4 linked regions of the Canis lupus familiaris genome follow. The protein of the gene in region 4 interacts with the protein of the main gene of each other region in a biochemical or structural test. Links are inferred from orthologs where the notes say so. Each region holds a gene or a part of one and is shown on either strand. Other genes may lie near its edges. The genes, in order: TFE3, SKI, COPS5 and SMAD4.

What was found.
Region 1: the proteins of SMAD4 (region 4) and TFE3 form a complex in vitro, tested with the Homo sapiens proteins (2 studies listed by BioGRID). The link is inferred for Canis lupus familiaris from reciprocal best matches to the Homo sapiens genes SMAD4 and TFE3.
Region 2: the proteins of SMAD4 (region 4) and SKI form a complex in vitro, tested with the Homo sapiens proteins (3 studies listed by BioGRID and IntAct, with this or other methods). The link is inferred for Canis lupus familiaris from reciprocal best matches to the Homo sapiens genes SMAD4 and SKI.
Region 3: the proteins of SMAD4 (region 4) and COPS5 form a complex in vitro, tested with the Homo sapiens proteins (2 studies listed by BioGRID). The link is inferred for Canis lupus familiaris from reciprocal best matches to the Homo sapiens genes SMAD4 and COPS5.

Annotation. Positions count from the first base shown.
Region 1 is NC_049260.1:42,394,646-42,399,633, forward strand, and holds the start of TFE3 (transcription factor E3), read right to left. Parts: upstream 2,997-4,988; 5' UTR 2,778-2,996; coding exon 2,662-2,777; intron 329-2,661; coding exon 215-328; intron 1-214. UniProt on the Homo sapiens protein: Transcription factor that acts as a master regulator of lysosomal biogenesis and immune response.
Region 2 is NC_049226.1:57,619,688-57,624,600, forward strand, and holds the start of SKI (ski oncogene), read left to right. Parts: upstream 1-1,450; 5' UTR 1,451-1,481; coding exon 1,482-2,450; intron 2,451-3,567; coding exon 3,568-3,621; intron 3,622-4,913. UniProt on the Homo sapiens protein: May play a role in terminal differentiation of skeletal muscle cells but not in the determination of cells to the myogenic lineage. Functions as a repressor of TGF-beta signaling.
Region 3 is NC_049250.1:17,045,018-17,050,027, forward strand, and holds the start of COPS5 (COP9 signalosome complex subunit 5), read right to left. Parts: upstream 3,423-5,010; 5' UTR 3,404-3,422; intron 3,398-3,403; exon of another isoform or gene 3,313-3,397; 5' UTR 3,066-3,312; coding exon 2,923-3,065; exon of another isoform or gene 2,915-2,922; intron 714-2,914; coding exon 479-713; intron 1-478. UniProt on the Homo sapiens protein: Probable protease subunit of the COP9 signalosome complex (CSN), a complex involved in various cellular and developmental processes.
Region 4 is NC_049222.1:24,038,153-24,043,080, forward strand, and holds the start of SMAD4 (mothers against decapentaplegic homolog 4), read right to left. Parts: upstream 2,988-4,928; 5' UTR 2,944-2,987; intron 931-2,943; exon of another isoform or gene 766-930; intron 1-765. Other genes in the region: ELAC1 (zinc phosphodiesterase ELAC protein 1), read right to left, coding at 4,386-4,634. UniProt on the Homo sapiens protein: In muscle physiology, plays a central role in the balance between atrophy and hypertrophy. When recruited by MSTN, promotes atrophy response via phosphorylated SMAD2/4.

The sequences.
Region 1 (4,988 bases), on a different chromosome or scaffold from region 4:
TTTGGGTGGGGGAGGCAGGGGAGTTCTGGTTCAAGAGAATGGAATCCCAGCTTGGCCACCTGCTTTCTCGTTTGACATGTTCTTTCTGGCCCCTCACTTTACTATCTGGAAAATGTAGGCTGGCAGAAGAGTTGGCCTGTCACTGAGGGCCTCTGCCCGTCAGGAAGGAATGGAGGGGCCTGAGGAATTGGGAGTGGAGTCAGAAGAGACAGACCTTGAGCGTAGTGGTAGTGGTTGGCTTTTGAGCTCGTAGAAGCTGTCAGGATCAAGAACGCTTTCTAATTCGATGTCAGCAACGATCCCAGATTCCGGAAGCAAAGAGTTGAGGCTGAGGGTGGAAGGGAGGTAAGGGTGATGGTCAGTTAAGTATATGGAGACTGCACTCCCCTCTAAGAGAGAAAGAACAAGTGGGCAGTGGGAGGAGAGAGATACACACAGGGGTGGGAGGGGATAACACAGAGTGCATCCCTCCCAGGAGGTGACCCTGCTGGGTACCACCACCAGGACTTCCCAGATCTTCCCTGCCCATACTCCTCTTCCCTCCCCACTCTCTTTTGCTCTGTTATCCAAAGTCCCTTAGGATTCAAAATAGTAAGAGTGCCCAGATCCCAACTCCTCACTCTCACATAATCATGTTAACAACCTAGGTTTGAGGGAAAACAGAAATGAAGAATTCAGGAATGACAATTCACTTTGCAGGAGTCCTGACTTTGCATTCAGAGTTCTTCCAGCCCCCACACCCCCTACTGGGGTCCTGGCAGCTGAATGTGAGCCCCCATTTGTCTACACATAGCAGGGTAGGGGCAATCTTCAGCACAGCAGTCTATTGTAACACAAACTGAATGCATCACAAAGAACTGGGGTCGATGATTCACTTGACGGAAGGATCCACGACTTTGCAAATTAGCCCCCCCACCCTGCCCCCCACCTCGCCCCAGCCAGAGTTGAGGGTATGCCTGTACACACCCAAATACAAAATGGAAATATCAAGGGCTCCCCTTATTCCAGCAAATTGGATTTAAAAGAGGGAGAATTTGGGTGGATGATCCGCTTATACAAGCATTCTTTTCTTGGCGGGAGGAGCCTGTCCAGCATTCAGCTGTTTTTTTGGATGGAACAACACACACACACACACACACACACACCTCTAATACCAACACCCATTGACATGAAATAAGAACCCATGTACACCCCTCCCTTTCAACTATTTCCACTACTGTGATGAGCCAGGTTGTTATGAAGGCATCAGAAGATGGGGAAGCATTAGATGCAAAGGCTCCTGCTCAGCCCTCCAGGCTGGGGGCATTCACACACACGTGGATGGATATGCATCCTGAATTGAGTCAAAGACTGAATCCTGAGTGACTATGGGTCACTTGGCTTGACAAGAACTCTCTTCCCTCCCCAACGATCTGTGTCTTCCTTCCTTTCCTCACCCTCAGATGGGGACCTAAAACCACCCAGGAAGTAGGGAAGAGGAAGCTCAGGGAGCCGCTGAGCTCAGCACAACCCCAGGAAGAAAGCAGGCAAAGCCCCAGCTCATGCTTATGCACCCATTGCACAGAAGTTAGAAGAGATGGGCTCTGGGGTGGAAAGGGTGTGGAGAGAGGGCTGGGGCTTACAAGTCGGCTGATGGAAGTGAGGATGGAAAGAGGACCCAGAGGACCCACCCAGGCAGGGATGGTGCAATTGGTGCTCATTCCAGCTCCAGAGACAGCTTGGAGAGTATTTCCAGGGTCTGACAGACAGACTGGGAGGGGGAGAAAAAGAATACGCGTGCATACACGCGCGCACGGGTGTGCGTGTACACGTGTGTGCATGCGCGCAGGGGTAGAACCTGGCTGGCTGAGAGGCTAGGATGGGTGGCAGCAGGAACAAGACCCTCCTCTGGGTTCCCAAATAAGGTCTGAGGCCTTCTCTGAGCTAAGAAGTAGCACCATCTCTTTTGCTTCTGTCTGCCTCACTGTCTCCCATTCAAGCCCCTATGGGGCTGTGGGAAGAGGACTTTTCCACTATCCCTGGGATCTGACCCAGCTGGGTGGGTGGGCAAGGATTAAGTGATTATTCTGGTCAGGTCTTGATGAATGTTGTTTCTCTTCCTCACTCACACACACAAAGCTGGTCCCATGTAACATATCTGAGATAGCCCCAAATACTTCCAGATTCCTGTTATCCCCAAACATAGCCTCAAGCAACCGGCCACTGGGAATCACCCAGCTTCCAAGACAGCACTTCTGTCTCCTAGGACCCCTTCTCTGACACTGAGGGGAAAAGTCCTTCTGATCAGTGCCTCACCTACATAGTACAACCTCAAATTCATCTCCCTCATGCCTGACTCAAGGACCCTAAATTCAGCCTCAGTGCCCCAAGTTCAGTTACCCTAGACTAGGCTCTGGATACAACAGAATCTTCCCCACAAACCCAGTCAAGAGACCCTCAGATCGGAGCCAGCCCTCCCTTAATGCACTTCCATGACTTCTTTAAGCCTCAGTCCAAGCAGGCCACCGCCGGATTCCTTAGGTTCCCCCCCAAGACCGGCGCCCCGACGTCCTCCAAGCCTAGGCCGAGGGCCTCCAATCCCAGTCCTGGGCTCCCGTTGTCCCCCCAGATCAGACCCCCAAGAACCCCAGTCAGCACTACCGGCCCCAGGCAGCCCCGCACCTGAGCAGCTGGGCCGAGTCGGCTGGCCTGCGCTCCTCCAACAGCACGAACACGGCTCGAGGGCCTTCCGCGCTGGCCTCTACGCCGTCCCGAGCTGGCTCGGCTGCATGAGACATGACGCCCGGCCCCGGGCGAGCCCTGCCAGGCCGGTCGGGCCTCGGCCCGGTCCCCCTAACAAAATAAGAGTCCCCCTCCCCCCGCTCGCCACCGCCTCCTCCGCTAAGCCATGGAGCGAGCTCTGCGCGGGCGGGCGGCGTCGGGGCGATGGGATGGGCCGTGAGTCATCCCCCGCCCTGAACAGACCAACACCCCCCAACCTAACCCCGGACGACCGCCCTCCTCCCCCTCGTCCTCTTCTCCCTCCTCCCTGAGCTGGGGAAACTCCACAGGAAGTGACCACACGGAGGACGGACGGCTCGCCGGGCCACCCCTCTGAGTGAGGCGGCCAATCATTGAGGGGTGGCTCGAGGGCCCGCCCTAAGCTACGCCTCCGACGCGGAGGGAAAACTAGATTCGGCCGGCCCTCGTTCCGAGAAGGACGCATTTAGGCCACGCCCCCAGAGCCAGAGGCAAATCAGCGAGAAGTGCTTTGATTAAGCCACGCCCCCTCCTCGCAAACGATCCCTCCGCAAGATTTTTAAGCCGCTCCTTGAGTCCTCTGCGCCTGCGCTCCGATGGCCCGTCAGCGCAGAGGGTCTCCAGGCCGCTCTTCTAGCAGCAGAACCGCGCCCCCTCTTGGCCAATGTTTATAATATCAGCTCCCTATGTTGCGCTGCAGCCTCCATCTAGCCCTGTCTCAGCCAAAATCAAAAGCAGGCCTAGGCAGCTAGGTTCCCTGGAGGTGCGCACCAAAAATCCCGCCCACAAACTAGCCGCCCAGCTGGTCTTCCCGGGAGCACTCCGCCTACTCTGTGTCACCCAGAGCACTTGTTGTACTAGGTCGTCCTGCTCACGTAGTAAGTGCTTAATAAATCCTTGACAGATAGATGAATGAGTGGAAGGATGGAAATTATATCTGGTACCTTCCGTGAATGATTTCTAGAATCATGAAGACCCGGTTTGGATTTGAGGAAGGGATTGCCCCTCTCAGAGCTTCAGCTTTCCTGGCCTGTCAAATGGTGGTGGTGGTGGTGGTGGGTGCCTCATAATACCTGTCTGACAGGGTTATTATGAGGATTAGAGATAATTTATGAAAAGTGCTAGCAGGTGGTTTGGCATACAGTAAGCTCTCCAAAACTTGATTCACACATTTGTGCACTGATTCAACAAATATTTATTGAACTCCTCTGTGTGCCAGATACATGCAAGCTAGCTTGCACACAGCAGAGGATCCCCCACACATACCTTCAGGTGCGTAGTCAGCTCACAGAAAACCTAGACCTACGACCTTACCTTCCTCCTTCTAACATCCCAAAACCCTGCCCAGCAGTTGGACCTCAGGGAACTTCAATGAGGTCTCATTTGTCTTGCACGGTCCTGTATTGACACAGGAAGTTGGCTTGGTAAACATGCACATCCCCACAGGCCCTTGCAGCCCCATTATCCACACAATAAAGAAGATAATTCTTGGGATCCCTGGGTGGGTCAGCGGTTTAGCGCCTGCCTTCGGCCCAGGGCATGATCCTGGAGTCTCAGGATCAAGTCCCACATTGGGCTCCCTGCATGGAGCCTGCATCTCCCTCTGTCTGTGTCTCTGCCTCTCTCTCTCTCTCTCTCTCTCTCTCTCTGTGTCTCTCATGAATGAATAAAATCTTTTAAAAAAGATGATAATTCTTTCCCAAATTAATCCCTTTTTAGATTTATTTATTTATTTCAGGGGGAGAGAGGAGAGAGAGAGAGAGAGAGAGAGAACGCACCAGGGAGGAGGGGCAGAGGGAGAGGGAGAAAGAGTCTCAGCTGGTCCTGGGCCTTGATCTCAGGACTCTGAGATCATGACCTGAGCCCAAACCAAGAGTCTGATGTTTAGCTGACTGCACCACCCAGGTGACTCCACCAAATTAATCTTTTTAAAAAAATCAACACTTTACCAATAAAAATTCCAAAATGGAACTCATAGACCTGATGTTAAAATTCCTATGGTGCCTTAAATATGTGAAAGTATCTAATTTTATAAAAGAGGAAGAAAGGGGGGAGCCATTAACTTACTAGATTCAAAATATATCACAAAGCACTAGTAATTAAAACACCATGATATGGGAGTAGGACTAGAAAATTAGATCTAGGGGATCCCTGGGTGGCTCAGCGGTTTGGCTCCTGCCTTCAGCCCAGGGCATGATCCTGGAGTTCTGGGTTTGAGTCCTGCATTGGGCTCCCTGCATGGAGCCTGC
Region 2 (4,913 bases), on a different chromosome or scaffold from region 4:
CGCGCGCTATGTGGGGTCCCCGTCCTGCCGGATCCGCGAGGTGTGCGGTGGAGGCCGCGCAGGCCGCCGTCCTGCCCGCCCCTCCGCGGGTCTGCGGTTGTGGCGGGGGCCGCGTGTGGGTTTCTGGGCCCGGCAGCGGTGACGGCGGCGACGGCGGCGGCGGCAGCACGGGCGCCTTCCCAGCCGCGCAGGAAGCGGCCTCGGCCGGAAGGGGGGGCCCCGGGCGCCGCCACTGCCCCCGCCGAGCGCCCTTCCGGCGGGCGGGGCCGAGCAGCGCCGAGCGGGGCCGAGCGGCGCCGAGCGGGGCCGAGCGGGGCCGAGCGGGGCCGAGCGGCGCCGAGCGGGGCCGAGCGGGGCCGAGTCCCGGGCGGGCGGGGCCGAGCGGAGCCGAATCGCGGCCGAGCGGAGCCGAGTTCCTGGCGGGCCGGCCCGAAGGCGGCCGAGTCGGCCCGAGCCGCGGGCGGGGCGGCGGCGGGGGAGGGGGAAGCGCGCGTTCTTGGAAGAGCCAGGCCGGGAGGCGGTCGCATTCCTGGCCGGCGCTCGGCTGAGGCGGACGCGCGGCTCCAGACGGCGCGAGGGGCGGGGCGGCGGCGCGGGGCGGGGCGGGGCGGCGCGGGGCGGGGCGGCGGCGTGAGCTCAGCGCTCCGCGCTCAGTCCGAGCCGGAGCGAGCCGCCGGGAGGATGTGCGCCGAGCCCCGCGCCTCCGCCGCCGCCGCCGCCGCCGCCGCCGCCGCCGCTGCCGCCGCCGCCGCGCTCTGAGGGCCGCCGCCACAGGCGCTCCCGCCGCCCCGGAAGCCGCGCGCAGGCGGGCGGGCGGGCCGCGGAGCCGGGCGCCGGCGGCGGGGTGGGCGCGGGCCGGGCCGGGGCGGCCGGCGGCGGGCGCGACGCGGCCGGCCAGCGCCGCCGGGACGAGCCGGGCGGGCGCCGCGCGGTGGGAGGAGCGGGGCGGCGGCGGCGCGCCGCGCGAGGACGGCCCGGCGGGCCCCGCGCCCGCGCCCCCGCTCCTCCCGGGCCCCTCGGCCTCGGCCGCCGCGGCGATTCGCGCCTCGCGGCGCCGGCACCTGCCCGCGCGCCCCCCGCGAGCCCCGGGCCCGCGAGCGTTGGCGTTGGCGTTGGCGGCGCGCGCAGGGGCATGCCCCGCGCCTAGGGCCCGGGGGGCGCGCGGGGGGCGCGCGGGGGGCCCGGGCGGCGGCGGCGGCGGCGGGCGCGGCGCGGGGCGCGTGGATGTGGCGCCGGGCCCGGGCGCCGGCGGGCTCCAGCGGCGGGACCCCTTCGCCCCGCCCGCCTACCCCTTCGCGCCCCCGGGCGAGGCCGAGGCCTCGGCCGTGATCGGCCGGGAGCCGGCGGCGGCGGCGGCGGCGGCGGCGGGGGGGGGCCGGGGCCGGGGCCGGGGGCGCCGCCGGGGCTCGCGGGGCGGCGGCGGGGGCCGCGGGGGCCCCGGCGCGCGGGAGCGGGAGCGGCCCGGGGAGCCGGAGCGCACCATGGAGGCGGCGGCGGGCGGCCGCGGCGGCTTCCAGCCGCACCCGGGGCTGCAGAAGACGCTGGAGCAGTTCCACCTGAGCTCTATGAGCTCGCTGGGCGGCCCGGCCGCCTTCTCGGCGCGCTGGGCGCAGGAGGCCTACAAGAAGGAGAGCGCCAAGGAGGCCAGCGCGGCTGCCGTTCCGGCGCCGGTCCCCGCGGCCGCCGAGCCGCCGCCCGTGCTGCACCTGCCAGCCATCCAGCCGCCGCCGCCCGTGCTCCCCGGGCCCTTCTTCATGCCGTCCGACCGCTCCACTGAGCGCTGCGAGACCGTGCTGGAGGGCGAGACCATCTCGTGCTTCGTGGTGGGCGGCGAGAAGCGCCTGTGCCTGCCGCAGATCCTCAACTCGGTGCTGCGCGACTTCTCGCTGCAGCAGATCAACTCGGTGTGCGACGAGCTGCACATCTATTGCTCGCGCTGCACGGCGGACCAGTTGGAGATCCTCAAAGTCATGGGCATCCTGCCCTTCTCGGCGCCCTCGTGCGGGCTCATCACCAAGACGGACGCCGAGCGCCTGTGCAACGCGCTGCTATACGGCGGCGCCTACCCGCCGCCCTGCAAGAAGGAGCTGGCCGCCAGTCTGGCGCTGGGCCTGGAGCTCAGCGAGCGCAGCGTGCGTGTGTACCACGAGTGCTTCGGCAAGTGCAAGGGGCTGCTGGTGCCCGAGCTCTACAGCAGCCCGAGTGCCGCATGCATCCAGTGCCTCGACTGCCGCCTCATGTACCCCCCGCACAAGTTCGTCGTGCACTCGCACAAGGCGCTGGAGAACCGGACCTGCCACTGGGGATTCGACTCGGCCAACTGGCGGGCGTACATCCTGCTGAGCCAGGACTACACGGGCAAGGAGGAGCAGGCACGCCTTGGCCGCTGCCTGGACGACGTGAAGGAGAAGTTTGACTATGGCAACAAGTACAAGCGGCGGGTGCCCCGGGTGAGTGACCCTGCTGGCTGGGGCCATGGGAGGACGCTGGGTGCTCTGGGCCCCAGGGCCTGGAAGCTGGGAGGGCTGGGTCCTGGGGAAAGGCTGGGGGGCCCTCCTGGGCCAGGGGCTCTGTGTGTGCAGCTTGGGGCTTGTCTTGGGGTTTGGATTTGATTTAAGGAAGTTCAGGGTTGTGTTGGGTCCCTCCCTAGTCGTGGCTGTGTAGGAAGGTCCTTTTGCTCGACCCCTGTGATGAGCCAGCTTGCTTGGGACAGGGGCCCTAGGGGTTCGGCCTGGTGGCTGGAGAAGCATTCCCAAGGCCCACAGCCATTGCCCTGATGGGCTTAGGAATGGCGGGAGGCTCGGCTCCAATACTCAGACACTCTTGCCCCCAGAGAACTGAGAAGTGAGATCCGGGCGGGCCCAGGCTGCAGCCTCAGGCCTAGGCCTTCCTCGGGCCACTGTGAGGAGGGGTGCAGACCCGGTGGGCCCCTAGGCTCGCACACAGAAGGGTGCCTGCCAGTGGTCCTCAGCAGACAGAACTGGGCCTGGCAGGGCCGGTTTGTGCCTTGAAGTCTTGGGAGACAGGCTCAGAAATGCAGCCAGGTGTCCAGGCCACAGTGGCAGGGGGCCGAGACTCGGTGACTCCAGTTCTGTGCGTTTCCCTGGGCCTGCCAGGGTGTGAATCCCAGAGTCCCCCATGTGGGGGCAAGGGCTGATTGGCCCTGGGCTTGGGGCCTGGTCAGCGGGCACCTGGGCCCTGAGTAGGAGTAGCTCGTGGCCTGCGATTTGTTTTGGACACGCCCGTTTCCTTGTCTCCCTCTCTCTCAAATGCTGCAGGGCGGGGGAGGGCCACTGGCCGAGGCTCTGTTGTTTGCCAGGCGGAGGATGTGATCCGTGTGATCTGGCTGGGCAGCTCCTGGGCGACTGGACGGTGAAACCTCTCATTGGGGTCTTCACCAACTTCTCGGTGTCTTCCCCTCCCCAAGTATTTGTAACTTTTCTTTTAAATATCCAGGCTTATTAAATTGCATACACAGAATGCTGCATTGGCTCAGCTATTCTGAGGAGGCCTAATTAATTCAACTACTGCATCAAACTTTTTTTTTTTTTCTAAATCTGTGAATAGATGCTCCCGCCCGGTTTTCTCTGGGCGCCCCTCCAGCGGAGTGTCAGAGTCTCGGTGAGCAGAGGAGGGGCTGGGGATGGAGGGGCTGGGTGCCTGTGCTCAGAGGGGCTGTCGTGTGCGCGCGTGCACGTGTGTTCCATGGCATTTCTGCCCTCAGCTTTGCCGCTGCCCAGGTGGCAGCTGTCTGCAGACTGGGGCAGGGCTTGGGTGGGAGGGAGTGTCTGAGTAGGGGAGGGTATTGGCAGGAAAGGCCCAAGCCTTTGATTTTGGATGAGTTGGTGATGGGTGGCGTGATGGGCACCCGACGTGAATGGGGACTTTTCTGTTCGGGGTGCCTCTACCTACCACAGCCACTGTGGCTTGTGGGAGTCTTGTGTGCAGGATTGTGGTAGGCACAGGCTGCAGTTCCTGGCCCAGGCCATGGCAGGCCATTTGCCTCCAGAGGGGGTGGGGTGGGGGGCCTTGTCTGGCAGGGTGTGTTCGTATGGGTGTCCCAGTCAGGGGTGTGAGGGGCAGTGGTGGAGTCTCCTGGGCTCGCTGGGACTGCTTCTTTGTCACAGCTGTAGAGTGGGGCCGTGGTTCTGGGCGCGGCCCCCCCCCCACCCCCCTGCCCGCCCGCCCCTCTTAGGGACGGCCCAGCCTGAGCTCTCAGGCCCAAACAGCGTCTGGGGAGAAGGCAGGATTGTTTGCCCACACTCCGTGAAGCCGAAGCCAGAGCCTGTTTCTGCTCTGGCCTTTTCAGCAGATGATTAGGGCCGCCCTTTCTCTGTCAGTGCGCTCTCCCTGATGCTGTCCTAAATCTCATTTACCGATTAAACAAATTTTCCCAGTGATGAGGAAGAGCTGCTTATCGTAAGTGGGTGGGGTCTGCAGGCCTAGTGTCAGCCAGCCCTGTCCTCGCCGTGGTGACCTGGACTGGCTGTCAGGCCCCATGCTTCCCTGAGGTCTCGAGTGCTCTCCTGCTGGCTCTGCCACCTCGTGTCCTGTGTACGGGGCTCCGCCTGCTGCCTTGGCTCTGACCACGCAGTTGGGAGTCCTGGGGTGCTCCGGCCGTCCTCTTTATAAGTCTCCAAGCACAGCCACATGCTCATCTGTCTACCTGCCAAGGGCACCACGTGAGAACGGTGTCAGCTTGGGGTGGGAGGGCCCCTGGCTGCCCAGAGCCCACTTGCTCCAGACCCTGCCCCCGAACCTCTCCCCCAGAGCCCTATTTCTGATTGCTCCTTCCACTTGCTATTGACGGCATATTTGTGGAGTAGGTTTTGATTTCTTTCAGTTGTTTTATTGGTTAGTTTAATATTTTTGATTTACCAAGGATAAGGACAGCAGAGAACAAAGAATGTGCT
Region 3 (5,010 bases), on a different chromosome or scaffold from region 4:
GGCAGATGCTCAACCACTGAGCCACCCAGGCATCCCTACTTAATCAGTTTTATACTCAGGAACATTTAGGTTGTTTCCAAATTTTGGTTTTAAACATATATCTGATACTGAGTGTGAGAATTAAAAAAAATTTTTTTTTATTGAGATATAATTGATGTATAACATTGTATTAGTTCAGGTGTACATCATGAATCACTATATGTATGTACTGCAAAATGATCATTATAAAAAACGTAGTTAACATCCATCACCACACATTTGGTACAACTTTTTTTCTCTTATGATGAAAACTTTTAAGATCTATTCTCTTGAGTATGGGAATTTATTTAAAAATATCCATGCTAACCTCTTACACATTTTACATAGACACTGTTGAAAATAAAATATAAACCTTATGTAACGAGGATAGTTTAAGTTTAGAAACTCAAGAGTCTCCATGAGACTCTTAGAATTACTGAACTTTAAGCAACATTTTTACCTGTTTGGCGTTTTCGATATACGCAGCCATGTACTCATATGCAGCAGCCTGAGCATTTACTCGGGTTTCAGTGCCCTCTACAGGCAAAGCAAAACTGTCCATAATGATCATGGTTTCACCGTCCACCTTTCCCAGCATTAAGCCCATCACTTCCAGGTTGCCTCCTGATCTGGCATGCATCACCATTTTCAGTAGAGCCAATGCTGAGATTTTGCAGTACTTAAAATAATGGTGACTACAAAACAAAAGTACAGCACAATTAACTTATATAAAACACAATTTCAAAGATAGTTTTTGTAAAGAAAACAAGTATTGAAGGAACTTACAGTGATGGGAAAGGGGAAAGAGTGTAGAAATGTGGGAAAGAAAAGGGAAGTAGAGTTCTTGCAGGGGGCTGGAAATGAAAAACATGTTGGGTCCTGCAAAGTATTTCTTTAGGGGAAAAGTATGAAATAGTTTTTTAAAATATGCTGTTTTAAATATGCTGTTCAAGTAGAAAGGAATTACATAGAATTCAATAGACTTTTTCTCCATTAATTTTGGAATCACCAAATCTCTGATTCTGAGTCTAGTTGGATGGTTGTGCCTAAAGATTCTCAGGCCTAACTTTCTGGCCTGACATCCAAATGTGGGCTCTGACATCCATCTGATTAAGTTTGAGTCTTTGCCCTGCCATGCTAGCTGTTGCCTAGAGACAATCACCGCATGCCCACGCCTTAGTTTCCTCATCTGTAAATAGGAATAGGTCACAGATTTGTTGTTAGGAAGAAATAAAGTGAAATAATTTACATAAATGCTTATCTTACTACCTCACACATACCAAAACTTAATATTAAGTGCTAGCTGTTATTAGCCTTAACCCATCTTTTATAGTACTCTCAAAAAAGTGTGTTGTTTCTTTCTGTGTTATCAGCCTCAAAATGAAAAAAGTAGCTCTAATATCTTTAGTTCTGTTTTGATCACTATTTAAAAGTTTGTCATATGTATATGTGACTAAACTACTCTTGAATAAAATTACATTTTCCGTTTCACTGATGCAGCTCAAGATCGCTGGGATGAACATAATCAGAGCCGCAATCAGACAATAAGGCACACGGATAGTTTTCAAATATTTGGTAGTCTATAGTATAGCAACCTTAAATGCATAGCCTGTTATAGAGTTAAGCAAACTGTCTTTAATAATATGGTCAATGTGTTTAAGAAGCCCCCCTCCCCTACTTTTTTTTCCTTCTTCTTTCCTGAGAAGCCTTTTTAAGATGTCTGCCCACAGATTTCAATCACAACTGAAAAATATGGAGACCTGGTCTTGGGAGTCAAGACATGAATTAATCTTGGGTCTTTATTCACTGGGGAAAAGAAAAAAAAAGTTATTGTGCTCTTATTACATACATTGTAGACCCTTTTTAATGCATTATCTCATCTAATCTTTATGAAATCACCAATGGGTGGGTCTAATTTTCTTTTTACAGGTAAAAAATGAAGATACATAAATTTTCTAGGGCCAGTCAACGAACTAGGGACACTTGTGAGGTTTGAATTTTAGTCTATTATTCACTTAAGAGTTCACTGCCTCAGTCTGATCATGAAGTAAGTTACTCGTATTTGCTTATTTTCTTATTTCCAAAAAAGGAATGAAAATACAGTACTGGGTTGTCATGTAGACTAAATAATATATTATAGAAATTCCTAAGCTCAGTGCTCAGCCCATATTAAATACTCGATAAACATGGAAGAATGTTTTGTTGTTGATCACTGCTGTCCTTTCTATCTCTCCATTTGAAGACTGCTCTTTTTACTCTCCCTTAACACTAAGGGTAAATGCTGTGGGTAGAGTCCTTCACTTGTCATCATTCCCAGAGACACAGGGCATTTGCTAAGGGGCAAACAGCTTTAAACTCTATTGATAAAATTTCTAGTTCATGTTAACTGGTGGACTAACGTTTTGGGAGCCTGGGTGGAGCCTCCTTGTATCTGAAATAGTTACCAGCAATCAACAATCGATTTATAAATGTCTAAAAGATGGCTTATAGTTAGAGACGCCAGGGCTGACTTGGCTTTTGAAGATGGGTGCAGTCTCCAGTCTCAGATAAGCTAGAGGTCTCAACAAGGTGTATATCAACACAAGGCTTAAGGCAGAGTGTGTGGCATATATATGACAATATAGATATTGAGAAATGAGAAATTATAATCGTTTGTCCTTTACCCTTACATCCCCTGGAGGCAAACGGGTTAAAGAGACAAGAAGGGGAATCGAAGCAAGACCCAGGAGAAGGGCTTTGACTCTACTTGCGGAGAAAAAGGTGGACCCAAATTTCCCGGGTGCATATTCTTCTCCCTGTCCATGAAAACACTAGCTTCCCACCCTCTGCAACTCCCACTCCCCTGGGTGTCCTAAACTCCCGCCACCCCTCCCATCCCCTGCGTCTCGCCAGGGACCTCCTCACTCCTTAGTCCAGGGCTTCGCCGCCAGTATTTCTTGCTGCTGTTTCTTGTCGTATTTGTAGATTTCATCGATACTCTGGGCTTCCTGCATGTTGTTGGCCAATTCCCAGGTTTTCTGAGCCATACCACTCCCGGACGCCGCCATCGCCGTGGAATCCGAGAAGCTGTCGCCTCCACGACCAAGACGCAACTTTACTCGGCTAGGTTCCTGGGTGTGGGCTTCGGACCCTTCCCACCACAGGTGCAAACTCGTACTAATCTCTCGAGGCAGCCATGACACCCAGAACCGGAGGTGAAGTCAGTACAGACCATTCGGGGATGGCGGGAGCGCTTCCGGGACGCCACGATACAAACAGCGGTTACATAATAGAGACAGAGGAATCCTCCTGTGGCTGAAACGAGAACATATTATCTTAGAAAATTATATGCGCGCATTAGGACAAACACAATGACGGAGCGTGAGAATGGTATAGCCTTCCGCACCGGAAGAAGGGCACGGCAACGTTATGCCAGAAACGAACGGGTCCTCTTTGTTCGCACTGCGCAGGCGCGGCCTCGGCCATATTAAAAGTGGGTTAGCTCTTTAGGCTGTGTTGGGGGAAAAAAAAAGACCTGTTTTCGTGTGGGTGTGTGGGTACCTTAAACAAAATGTTTGTTGAAAGCCTACAAAAATAAGGATGTCTGTGAAAAACTTGAGACATAAGCAGTTTTGGATGCTGGTTGAGACGAAGATACACCTGGCATCCCAGTTTACTTCCAGATGAGTCACTGCACATGCGTAAAGTTCAAAGGACCCTTGGTTGGGCTCTAAGGGTCTCTTAAGAGAGCAGTTCTCCGGCATTTCAAGAAAGCTGTGGAGACTCGTGGAAGGCTACGACAGGGTCTTTTGTCGTGTTTGTAAAAATTAACATCTGTATGAGCTCTTAGTGTTTTGAAAAGATCAGTACCCAGTTCTTAACAATTCGTTTAAGGTGTGAGACCACTTCCTATCCCCGAGGCCAAATTAATCTCAGCAACTTTTTTTTTCCCCCAACAGTTAATGCAGTGTTTAATTATTTCACTTATTTGCTTGCTTGCTTCATCTTTAATCATCCTGAAACTTTGCATATGTGGTCAGCCTTGCTTGAAATACTCTCCCCTGGCGGTTGTGTTGTCTTGTTTTTTGCCTGGGAGCTCAAATTCATCTTCAAAAACAGCTCAGGGATCTCTACCATGAAATGTTGACTTTTTCCGCTCTCCAGTAATGATTCCTTTTAGATGTCTCTAAACGTCTGTAGGTGCTTCTAGAACTGTTACGTTGCATTGTAATAATGTATTTATTTGGATTTTTTTCTTTTCACTAAAAGCTTAAGAGTTCAGGACGCGGCTCTGGGTTGTGTCCTCCACTCCTAGTACGGTACGTGCCAAATAGTTAAAAACATTAGAATTATTGAATCCACATCCCTGCCTGCAGTTTCGACATTAACTTCCATTTGAAGAAAATTTGTTTTTAAAACCCTCTTACAAAGTAACTTAGGACAAAGGATTCTTAGTTCCCCTCTGCTGGAAAGCTAGAGATCTCTTTTCTCGTGTGGCACATGGCCGTTCAGTATTGGGGGGAACCGAACATGTTGAAATTAGTAATAAAAAGGGGAATCCTGGGTGGCTCAGTGATTTAGCGCCTGCCTTCGGCCTGGGGCGTAATCCTGGAGTCCCGGGATCGAGTCCCACGTCGGGCTCCCTGCATGGAGCCTGCTTCTCCCTCTGCCTGTGTCTCTGCCTCTCTCTCTGTGTCTGTCATGAATAAATAAATAAAATCTTTAAAAAAAAAAATAAAAACCCCCAGGACAAAACATTGATGACCAGACTCCAGGAAGAGGAGAAATACGCAGGGGAGGTGTGCAAACATTTTTTCCCTGTCACCCCTATCTTTTTTTTTCCACGGCGGCTGCGGCTAGCAATGCGGCTAGGAAGGTCTAGAGGGGCTAGAATCGATTTAGCTTGGAAAGAATTTCTCATGGTTTAACAGCTCCCACTACAGACCAGAGGCACCAGGCAAAGGGCCAGATACACCCAGCCTACGTGTAGGCGAGCCTGCTGTGCGGCCTCCG
Region 4 (4,928 bases):
TTACGCTGATCCAAGTCCTTTAACTTTCATTTAGTGTAGAAAATAATGAAATCAACGGAACTGTTTTAGTTGTTAGTTTTACACATGATTAAGCATCAATTCAGAGTCAACATTTCATCATCGCTTAAGCAAAACAAAAATTTCTGCCTAACCACACAATCTTCTAGAAAAAAAGGAAATCAAAACATGTACAATGAGCACCGAAACGGCCAACATAAGATGTTTAAAGCCTTGTTTACTATCAAAATCACTGGATGGAAGATGGGAAAAAGTTAGGCATGAGCTAGAGGGGAACAATATAGAACTGAAATAACTTTAAACATAAAAAAAGGTACTCAACAAAATAGGCAAAATTTTAGACAGGACTAAAAATGCGTTTTAAATGAACGGGACAGATCCTGCAGGGTTAAGAGCCCTAGTAGAGGCCACAGCAATTCACAGCTCAATTAGGATAGTGTCTAATGACGTTATAACACCAGCTCAATCAGAAAAAAACAGCTTCCAAGCCAGAGGGCTGGAGTGTGACTGGGCAGCATAAATTAGTTTAATGCTTTTTTCTCTTTAATATGGGGGGGGGGGGGTGTCTAAAGGGGAATGCAGAAAAACAATTCAGACACAAATAAACAGCTCAACCAAAATGTAGCCTCAGAATAAAACATACATAGGTTTTTAGAAGATTTGCTGCTTCGTAGTGTAAGCAGCATTGCTTCAAGCAGCAAAGCCATTAGAAAAGGCCAATGATCCATGTAAAAATTTCAAATTCACCTTCTCAGCCCAAATTTCCATCAAATCTCAAACTGACGTGCAATTCTTTTCTAAGCTCGAGATTTACAAGGCGGGCACTCAGCTAAACAGAGAAGCTTCCACTCAGGCCCTCCTACTCGGAAAATCAAAGAATTAAGAAGATGCAGTGCCTCTTCAAGCAACCTCACCCAAAAACCTGGAAAGCAAAGAAAAAGCCACTTCTATTAACAGACCCACGAAAGGTTCTATCCATTTTCTCTAGAAAGGCTCTTAGGTTTAATTCCGACAACTTAAACCTACACAATTCATCACCCCCTTTAGACCCCAAAACCCTGCGAGTCCTGTTGGTTCTGGTAACAAACCCGTTTAGGGAAACAAAGTCACAGCTCATGAAACAGCAGCAGGACGTCATATTTTAAGAGGTCAATCACATCATTTACAACTTGAAATGTCACATACTCGGCATATCAGAACTTTTCAGAAGAAAAAATAAGAAGTCCTTAACGGAAAAGTCCTCACGCCTCGGAGGCTCAGAGGCTCGCGGGCAACACGGCGCAGGTGCAGGAAGGCAGGCGCGGGCACCGCGGCCCACCCACCCAGCTGCGTCCTAAATCCCGTTACTTTTTCAAAGCGTGGATTTCCTTATTTCCTCTTAAGACTCCACGGTCTGTTCCAACAAAAACTACTCAACCTACTTTTTTAAGATCCACAGAGACTGCTGCTGAGACTCAAGGGGCGCTCCCTGAGAAGACTAGAGTGCTCCCTGCGAAGACTAGGGTGCTCCCTGCAAAGACTAGAGTGCTCCTTGCGGGGACTCAAGGGGGTGCTCCCCACGGAGACTCAAGAGGACACTCCCTGCAGGGACTCAAGGGGGTGCTCCCTGCGGGGACTCAAGGGGGCGCTCCCCACGGGGACTCAAGAGGACACTCAAGGAGGTGCTCCTCGCGGGGACTCAAGGGGGTGCTCCCTGCGAAGACTAGGGTGCTCCCTGTGGAGACTCAAGAGGACACTCCCTGCAGGGACCCAAGGGGGTGCTCCCTGCAGGGACTCAAAGGGGTGTTCCCTGCGGCAGGTCGGGGCCCCTACCGAGCCTCTGCACCCCAGCTCCTCCGCACCCTGGCTCGCGGTCAGGAGATGCCCAGGAGCCCGCTGCGCCGCGTCCACGACCCCGAAGGGCCCTCAGCCCCACCTCAGAGTACAGCGCAAAAGGCACCAAGGAACTGGGTCCAAAGTGAATTCATCGGAAATAAAATGTGTTCGTGAAAAAGAATCTTTCACCAGGGCTTTGGGGGGGGGGGGGGGAGGTGCTGCGCATCACCACCAGCAGAGCCGTCGGACACCTCTCCAGGCCCCCAAAGCCACCTTTCAAGTTAACCCAACACGCCCATTTCTTTGAAAAATCTTCCCTGAGAAATGATAACCTCAGTTTTGGGGGCAAGTGATGGAGCCACCGCCCTCCGTCCTAGAGCCTCGCGCCCAGCGCTCGCAGTCCCAGCAGCGGGAGAAACTGGGTCCTTGGGTTTTCATTGGGAGTGGGGTGGGGTGGGGTGGGGTGGGGTGGGGTGGGGGGCGGCCGGGAGCTGATTAGGGGAAGGATTGAGGGGTGGAGGGGTGGAAGGGTGGGGGGTGGAGGGATGGGGGGGTGAGAGGTGGAGTGGAGGGGCGGGGTGGAGAGGTGGAGGGATGGAGGCTGGGGGGGCGGCCGGGTGCTCATCAGGAGAGGGGGGAGGGATGGAGGGGTGCGGGGGAGGGGCGCGCGCAGGTCAGCGGGAGGGCTCCCCCCCGCCGCCCGCCCGCTCCCGAGCCGCGAGAGCGCCCAGCGCAGGCCGAGGCGAGCGCCGGAGCGGCCCCGGCAGGAAGGGAAAGTGGAGGACAAAGGCGGCACCGACGTGTCCCCGAGACGGGAAACTTCGGGCGCGCTCGGCGGGGGCGGCGGGCGCAAGTCCTCGGAGCAACAAAGACCGACGGCGACGGCAGGGGAGCCGCGGCGGGCGCGGGGGCGCGGAGGCGCGGGGGCGCTGGGCCCGGGACGCGAGGCGCGAGGCCCCCCGCCCCCCGGCCCCCGCCCCGCCCCCCGCGCACACGCACGCGCACGCGCACACGCACGCACCGGCCGCCCGAGCCCGCCCCGGGGCGGGGAAGCCCGGGGGTGGGGGGGCGCGGGCCCGGCCGGGGAAGGGGAGGGCACGGGGCCGTTACCTGGGCTCCGCCGCCGCCGCCGCCGCCGCCGCCGCCGCCGCCGCCGCCGCCGCCGCCGCCGCCGCCGCCGCCGCCGCCGCCGCCGCCGCCCGTCCGCGGGCCACCGCTCCCCCCGCGCCCCCGCCCCTCCTCGCCGCCGCCGCCGCCGCCGCCCGCCGGCCGCCTCGAGCTCCCGGGCCGCCCCGCGGGGGGGGCCCTCGGTCGCGGGGCGCCCGGCTCCCCTAGCCGCTCCCGCCGCCGGGCGGCCGCGCCGCTGAAGGACCGGCGGGCAAGGCCTCCCGAGGACGGCGCGCGGGCGCCAACGCGGGCCCCGCCACCCGAGCCGCTCCGCTAGCGCAGCGGCGACGACGACCAGGGCCGTGTTGTTGCTGCCAACTTGTCGGGAGGCCACGGAGCATGCGCGCACGGCGACCACATCCGGGTAACTGCAGGCCTCGGCCCGTGCCCCCGCAGCTCCCTCTCCCGCGGCCCCGCCCCCCGCGGAGCGCCGGCGGGGGGGTTGTGCGCAGGCGCGGGGCGCAGGCGCGATGCGCGGCCCGGCGGCGGGCGGCCCCGAGGGCGGACACCTGCCGGGCCCCCTCCCGGCTCCGCGGCGCGCGGACCGGCAGCCCGTGCGGGAGTGTGGCCGCGGGTCACGGAGGCCAGTGGACGGGGCTCGGGGGACACTGCGATGGGGGCGGCGCTCAAGGACCTGCCGCGCACCTGTTGAGGCCACCTGTGGGGCGAAACTCGGCTTCGCAGTGCATACCTACTTATCTCAACTTTTCCAAGATGCGCGCATTTCTTTTATTTTTAAAAGTTTCAGAAAACACGTACGAGTTGCATACTTTCGAATTTTTGTTTTATTTTTTACCACCTAGAAAAAACTTCCCCTGCCGGGGGTGGGGAGCCCGACGCAAGCTAGTGGCGAGGAAGCGCTCAGACCCTCCGTACGCCCGTCCCCGCGCCGGCCCCGCCCGCTGTCCCCACGGCGTCCCGGCCCCGCCCCCGCCCCGCCCCCGCCCCGCCCCCCCGTCCCTGCTCTCCACCCCCGTCCCCGCCCCCGTCCCCGTCCCCTCCCTGCTGTCCTCGCCCCGCTGTCCCCGCCCGTTCCCAAGCTGTCCTGCCTGGCTGTCCCCACGGTGTCCCCCCCTGCTATCCCCTCGGCATCCCGCCCGTTCCCGAGCTGCCCCCCCCCCCCGCACCACGGCAACCCGCACTCCTGCGTGTCCCGCCGCCGTCGTCTCCCGTGTTCCCTGCTCCTGGGTCCAGGAAGACTTTCCAAGACTAGTTTTAAGGGAATTCACTTAGAGAGCTCCCGTTGCTAGTGCACTACTTAACACAATGGCTCAGCTTGAGAAGTCACCTGAGGACAGAGCATCCTCTTCCAAAACTGTCATTCTCCCATCTGTCGGAATAAAGTGACATTCTCATGCAGGTGCATCAACTCAAGATGTATTTATTTACTTTTTTATTTTAGAGTAAGAGGGAATGTGGGGATGGGAGGGGAAGCAGAGGGAGAGAGAGAGAGAGAAGCCCAAGCGGACGACGTGTTGAGTGTGGGACCCGATGCGGGGCTCGACCCCACAACCCTGAGATGGTGACCTTAGCTGAAATCCAGTCGCGCGGGCACCCCGACTCCAGATGTAAAACCCCCAGGACAATTCAGAGGGACAATTCAAAAACTGGCGTCTGATGAAAGAGCGAGTGACCTGAATGAACGGGTTATAAATTCTTTGTGAGTCAGGTGGTTCCCAGTTCTTTGCTATCAGCAAAACTGAAGGAAGGTTTAACTGGGTGGTCGGGTACCAGAGCAGCAGGTGGCTCCTAAGTTCCTACTTCTACCTCAGACGGAGTTAAAAGTAACATGGCTCTCCGGCACCTGGGTGGCTCAGCTGGCTGAGCGTCTGACTCTTGATCGCAGCTTAGGTCTTTATCTCGGGGCCTGAGCTCCAGCCCCACCTACGCCACAGCAACACCCTTGTAACTGAGCCTCTTCGTTCCCA